2 linked regions of the Daphnia pulex genome follow. The protein of the gene in region 1 purifies or fractionates together with the protein of each later gene. This does not show direct contact. Links are inferred from orthologs where the notes say so. Each region holds a gene or a part of one and is shown on either strand. Other genes may lie near its edges.

Region 1 (3,320 bases):
CCTAAACGACGTAATTGTTCTTGCTGATCAACGACGCGCAGCCGCTGAAAGTAAGCGGATTGAAGAGGCTGGAGGTAAGAATTTCCTAGATTTGTGTTAATGATAATCATAAGACAATTTTTTTTTTCTCTTTTTTTAAATTCTTCAGGCTACAGTTTCAACCAACAAACGGTTCCCGATTCTTTTAATTTCGGAGGAAATGGGTCTACTTCACCATTTAGCAGATGAATGTTTCTTACTAACGTTATCGTATAATTCCTTATCAATATGGTTCTATTTGATAACATCCGTCACTATCACATTTATTGATAGCTGTGCTTTGACCTTTTTTCATCAATGCCTGGTTTTCTTATTGAATCTGTCTGATTAGGTTAAATTGCCCATTTGTTTTGTTTTTTTGGTTGCCTTTTTTTTGGAGGGGAATTTTTGTGTTGTGCATTTAGGCTTTGCTTGGGAAGGTTAATCTAACTGCTGATAATGCGCTCTTTGTAGGAAGTAGGAACACTGAATAGTTCGATACTTTCTATTCTCATCAGTAGCAAAGCCTAGTCATCCATTCCCTTCCTCCTTCTGCTTGAACCGTGTATCGTTCCGTATATCGAGTAAAGAACGGTGATGGATATTCAAGAAAAAATTACAGCTGAATGATGAAACTTAATAAAAAACTAATGATGGAACGCAAAACACGCGGATGTTTATTTTTTCTGCACATGAAAATTTCCATGTTAAAAATCGTTTGAAATCAAAGTTGAAAAGAGCCATTCGTTTTTTGTTGTATCTGATTCGGATGTTATTTCAAGCATCGTTCGAAATAAACCTGTTTTCCCCAATTAGGTTCAAAACAAGATTGTGTTATTTTTAAATATGATTTCAAAGTAATTTAGCTTACCGAACCAACATATCCCCCTCGCATGGATTTTTGGACGTTTGTTTCGAATAATCGCCGGTTTGTTTGAAGTACTTCTGCAGCTTCTTTATTCAATGGATCTTCTGGATTGGGTTCCTTGAAAATCACACAAGAACAGTGAAATAAAATAACCAACATACATCAATTCTAGGGAATTTAGGACTACTAATAACAAGATGGATTTCAATGAACTGAGAAAAAGAGCTCACCAGGAAAAGGTACTGCAGACCATAAATTATGGAGTTGATTGTTAATACTGGCTTCCAGTCTTCTCGTAGAATGTTAAGACACACATTACCTTCAAGGTCAATGTTCGGGTGATACACCTGTGTCTCACACTTCACTTTGGGTGGTTCATGAGGATAACCAGGACCAACTTTGAAACTAAAAGAAAATTTCCCTCCTCTGTAAAAACCCTGTAACAGAATAATTATAAAAAAGTTTTATAAATCAAATAAATATTTTGCATTTCATAATACGTAATACCTCATCTGGAGAAATGATTAATTTGAAGTTCAGCAAGTCATCTTGGTCAGGAAATTCCATTTGACAAGTCTTGGGTAGATTTAACTCATTAATATCTACGAGACATTATAACAAATATTAAAATAAATGGAACACGGGTCACAAGGTCAGAACTTGTTTTTAGTCAATAGACCTTTGGTGATACGCAGCTGGGCAGCGGATGCTTTCTTTTGATTTCCTGCCCGACCTGGAACTTCATCTTTCTTTTGTTGTTTAAGAGAAAAAAGCTTAATCATGATGTCGGCTCCACAAATACGAGATCTACAAATTTGGGAAAACTTAACAGGGGTTTCCTTCTTATATTTACAGAGGAACCAGTCTAGATTTTATTTGGCCCAATACAGAACAGATGGGAAATTTTTGCTGATTGAGAGGACTAAACAGCAGACTGTTGGAGAAACGTCAAAAACAATTCCATATAAATTTTTTTATGCTGCCAGAAATCCAATTGATACAACTGATTTTTTTAAATTAAAAATAATATTAAATACTGTTAGGTGTAAATTTAGTTATGAATAGTAATTAACAATTCATTTTTCTAAAGTCAATAGGCCTACCCTATTTTTGAAATGTGAAAACGCTGCACAAAGAGAAATTTCTGCTTGGGAATTCGAGGGTACGAGGGAGTCGATAAACCGACTGTTAGCGTTCAAATTAGACACGTGAATTTTTGTCTCAATAGAAAATAATACTACACTTACACTTTAGAGTGTCATCTTGGTTGAACCTGATAAAAATCATCCAACAACTTCGAAGAAATGAATGGGGCAGTGACTAAGTTTAATGGAGACTCTGAAGCCAATAATTTGAATGCGAAAGAAGAAATAGTAGATTTTAGCGGGAAAGGACTCAAGTTAGATACGGAAGCCGACGGTTTGTTCTGATTTTATGTTTGCTTTATAAATGGGATTAAAGTTCTTTTTATTGGAATTTTTCAACAGCCCAACCTATTGTTAATGCAATTCAGGCTGCAAAAGGTTTGACAGGTCTCATCCTTGAAGGAAACACTCTTGGTGTTGAAGCCGCCAAGGCTATTGCCAAAGCATTAGAATCCAAACCAACCTTCCAGAGAGCACTGTGGAAAGATGCTTTTACTGGCCGGTTGAAAGATGAAATTCCAAAAGCTTTGGTAATTTGATTGTGGTGCATGTGACGATTAACAGTATTAACCACCGTTTATTTAAATAGAGTTTCTTAGGAGGAGGACTCATTTTGGCTAAAGCTAACTTAATTGAGTTAGATTTGAGTGATAATGCATTAGGTCCAGTTGGTATGGAAGGTCTTGTTCAGTTTTTGAAAAGCCCTGTCTGCTATTCTCTAAAATGTATAAGATTAAACAACAATGGCCTTGGAATTTATGGTGGACGGGTAACTAAAATTCCATTTATTTGTAATCATAATACTGCTACCTTTTACTTTAGATGCTTGCCCAAGCTTTAAATGACTGTCTTAAAGCCAGTAAAGAGGCTGGTTCTCCATTGAGTCTGAAAACCTTCATTGTTGGAAGAAATCGACTTGAAAATGAAGGAGCGATTGCTCTGTCAGAATTTTTCAAGGTCACTGTTTTTTTTATTTTCAGTAATTATTTAATTATTTTAATTACAGCATATTTGTTTTTAGGCAGTTGGAACCTTGGAAGAAGTCCAGATGCCTCAAAATTTTATAAGACATCCTGGTATTCTCGCATTGGCCAGTGCGCTTGTTTATAACCCTGGCCTGAAAATTCTTAACTTTAATGATAACACGTTCACCTGGAGAGGATCACAAGCTGTTGCAGAAGCTCTTCCAAAATGGCAGCAATTGTCGGTTATAAACTTTGGAGACTGTTTGATCCGTACCAAGGGGGCTGAGTTCCTCGCCAAGGCATTGTCATCCGGACATGAGCATT
Region 2 (3,665 bases), on another chromosome or scaffold:
TTGTTGGCTGTTGCTGCCGCAACCAACATCGAGTTCAAAGAAGCCATGACGGTTAAGGAGTTCTTGAAGGATCCCAGCAAGTTCGTTGCTGCCGCCGCTGCTGCTGCTCCTGCTGCTTCCGCCGCCCCGGCCGCCGCTGCTGCTGCTGCTCCCAAGAAGGAGGAAAAGAAAGAAGAATCCGAAGAAGAGGATGATGATATGGGTTTCGGTCTCTTCGACTAGACGCTCTTGTCAGATTTTGATCCAGTTCTGTTTACAGTTGATGAAATGTTATTACATGGTGAGCTTTGACTCATGTACCGCGGATACTTTTATGAACTGTAATAAACTGACGATTAACGGAATGATTCGTGCTTAACTTATTCTTTTGATATCCCAGTTTGTCTTGAACGATTCTTTCATTAATAAGGTTCAAGTTTCCTCTGCATTAATTGACATAATTTCTTGAAGCGGGTACGCGGCGTTTGGGTGGATGTAATAAATGAAAAGTAATTCGGACGCATACTCAATTGCACTTTGCATTAATTTATTCAAACCGCAAAATATAAGAATTTACAATATGTATTAAATATCTCATTCAATGTTATCATGAATTTTAACAACATCGGGCTCTTCTTCCAACTTACTATAGAGCTTAGAAACTAATGCTAAGTCTTCTTCGGATTCAATCTGAACTCTATTTCGTGGGATATAGAGCAAGTCAGATTCTATTATGCAATAGCCAAGCTGACTAACAGATCTCTTGACATTCAAAAAATCCCTTGGGCTGCATGTGAAGACAAACTTGCCATCTTCATCAGCTAGAAATTACCACAGAATTTCGGATAATTGCATAATGTATATATTTCACTTGAATGATACCTGTTACATCTTCCGCCCCGACGTTAATAGCATCGTCAAGTACTTGCTCAATAGTTTGGCCAATAGATAATGGTGACACCTTGATTAATCCTTGATGGTTAAACAGATTGTTTGAAACTCCTTCTGCCCATGATGCACTGACAAGAAAGGATTATTATTACTTATAAGTCAATTCATACACTACATTTACCAGTAATTTTAAACTTACTTGAATTTCCTGTTGATTGTATTGATGCCTTGTCTTGCTTTCAAATAACTAGGAGTGAGAACTTCTACCACGAAAAAGGTTCCCACTGGTCCTCTTACTTCCATAACATAAGGTTTTAAATCCTCAGTAGACTGATCAGCATTCTTTAGAATATGTTTCAACTTTTCAGAGGGCACATTATGATGCCTTGCTTGATCTACAAGATGACTAAGTTTTATATTTTGTTTTGGATCTGCCGAGCCATGTTCTGCAACAAAGAATTGTATGTTAATGCTAAACTTTGTTTCAACCAAAAATTAATACTCAGTATACAAACCTTTAATAGCTGCCTGATTGTTGTGATTGAAATTCAAGAAAATGTTATAGTTACACTAATAATGAGAACACAAATTCAAAATACCCTAATTTGACGAAAAATTCTTAGATGTAAAGTTGCTCTTTCAGCATCCTTTGCACCCTTCACATGTTTGATGTTGGCCCATTTACTATGCCCAGCCATGTTTCTTGAGAGCGGAATCAAAATACCCAAACGAATCTTTTGAAACATGATAAATTATTGTTAATATTTTTTGAATTATTATAAAAAGAAAACAAAATGCAGTTCCGGTAAATATCTTTTCGTCTGCTGTTTTAGTCTCGCTACAACGTCGACTGCTACGCTTTCAACTTCTTCTTTTCAAACGCAGATCACTTCCTGATATTCGATTTTCTTGAATAAAACAATGGAGACTGAAGAGAATAATCAGAATGTTAACCATGTAATGGCTTCATCGGGGGCGACAGGAAGTATATCAGTTTTATTGCATCCCTTGGTTGTGATGAATATATCTGAACATTGGACTCGAGTGAGAGCCCAGGAAGGGAAAGCACAGCAAGGTAATGTTTATGTGATGTACATTTTAACTCTTTATTTATTTTGTATACACAATTTCATAGTGATTGGTGCACTCATTGGAAAGCAGAAAGGAAGAAGCCTAGAAATCATGAATTCCTTTGAACTGGTTTTCACTGTTATTGAGAATGTGGTAATTGACCGAGATTACTACAACACAAAAGAGGAGCAATGTATGAAATTTCCCATTCTTTACTTATTAAATGTTCTTCATAATTTCTTTTTATCTTTAGTCAAGCAAGTGTTTAGTGATATGGATTTCCTTGGCTGGTATACCACTGGAGATGCTCCCAATGAATCTGACATTCATGTCCACAAACAAATATGTGAGATTAACGAAAGTCCTGTAATTTTGAAGCTTAATCCTTTTACACGAAATGCTGACCTCCCTGTAACAATGTATGAATCTGTAATTGATCTTGTCAATGGAGAGGCAACTATGCTCTTTGTTGAATTGACTTATACTTTGGCCACAGAAGAGGCAGAAAGAATTGGAGTTGATCATGTTGCTAGAATGGCTTCTGGTGATTCAGCTGAAAGTTCTCAAGGTAATTTTAATTCATTAACATTATCCTTATGAAACTGTCATGGACATACTTTTCTTTTTTAAACAGTGGCGGAACAATTGCAAGCCCAACACAACGCAGTAAAAATGCTTGCCAACCGAGTGCGATTGATATTAGAATACATTCGAGCCATGGAGAGAGGAGAGGTTCCAAAGTCTCACGAAGTCTTACGCGAAGCTAAATCTCTGACCCACAGGTTACCTGTCCTCAACTCTGAAATTTTCCAGGAGGAATATTACACCGTAATTATATCTTAACTCTTTGTTAATTGGGTTGATTTTTCTAATCTTGTTTTCTTTTGTCTTGTAGCAATACAATGATGTCTTGCTGCAAACCTATTTGGCATCCATTACCAAAGCATGTCACGACCTTCACCAGTTTGTCACCAAATTCAACATACTTTGCGACCGTCAAGGCATAATGGGTCGCCGAATGCGTGGTCTCTTTTTCTGAATTGTGAGCATTGTATAACATATTTAAGGAAACATGCTTTGTGCCCTACCTAATACATATTGGTTTTGATCAAGATTCCCATTTCAGCTACATTTCCATCCAAGGTGTGTATTGAAAATGTCAGCTTAATCATGGCAGTGTAATATCAAGTCCATATGGATTATTTTTCTTAAGTTTATTGGCCTCGTAATTTAAGGCGTCCTTTGTTAATACAGAGTGTTAGTATGAGATTAGCAGTCTGTTGGATTTGACAAATCCGGCAAATCCGATACACTGGAGATTAGCTTACATCGAAACTATGGGTCCTAGCCAAGATGTTGGTTATTTAAAGATTTACTCGACTTAACAATATCGTTCGTTGTTTGGCAGTTTTTTTGTAATTTTTAAAATTATTTAATGAATTCGTGATCCAATATAACTTAAATTAATTGTAGTTGAGCTCACAGAAAAAAGGAAATTTTGGCATCTAAAATTATTTGATTCAGATTCCAATCTTTTTTTCCAATTCATTTTGACAACACTGGAAAAATGTGTTATAATATTATGCCAAAATGTGTAGGTACAGATTTACAACGCCGATCATAATCGCAACGACATCTTTATTTAACAGCTTTTCAGTAAGCTTCTGGTTTTTTTGGCTATTCTGGTTGAATTTTCCTATTTGGCAGCAGCCTTTTTCGACAGT

Evidence for each region.
Region 2: the proteins of NEDD8-conjugating enzyme Ubc12 (region 1) and COP9 signalosome complex subunit 6-like purify together in Homo sapiens (affinity purification with mass spectrometry; 3 studies listed by BioGRID and IntAct, counting the BioPlex papers as one, with this or other methods). This does not show direct contact. The link is inferred for Daphnia pulex from reciprocal best matches to the Homo sapiens genes UBE2M and COPS6.

Annotation. Positions count from the first base shown.
Region 1 is NC_060024.1:11,931,601-11,934,920, forward strand, and holds NEDD8-conjugating enzyme Ubc12, read right to left. Parts: upstream 1,844-3,320; 5' UTR 1,669-1,843; coding exon 1,566-1,668; intron 1,489-1,565; coding exon 1,394-1,488; intron 1,324-1,393; coding exon 1,117-1,323; intron 1,004-1,116; coding exon 890-1,003; intron 818-889; coding exon 791-817; 3' UTR 667-790; downstream 1-666. Other genes in the region: importin-7-like, read left to right, coding at 1-74, 149-228; ran GTPase-activating protein 1-like, read left to right, coding at 2,191-2,305, 2,374-2,561, 2,621-2,800, 2,854-2,988, 3,053-3,320.
Region 2 is NC_060019.1:12,303,468-12,307,132, forward strand, and holds COP9 signalosome complex subunit 6-like, read left to right. Parts: upstream 1-1,703; 5' UTR 1,704-1,791; coding exon 1,792-1,945; intron 1,946-2,005; coding exon 2,006-2,134; intron 2,135-2,194; coding exon 2,195-2,509; intron 2,510-2,575; coding exon 2,576-2,769; intron 2,770-2,836; coding exon 2,837-2,980; 3' UTR 2,981-3,055; downstream 3,056-3,665. Other genes in the region: 60S acidic ribosomal protein P0-like, read left to right, coding at 1-222; probable transcriptional regulatory protein FMG_0893, read right to left, coding at 574-800, 862-998, 1,070-1,316, 1,386-1,398, 1,470-1,616. UniProt on the Homo sapiens protein: Component of the COP9 signalosome complex (CSN), a complex involved in various cellular and developmental processes.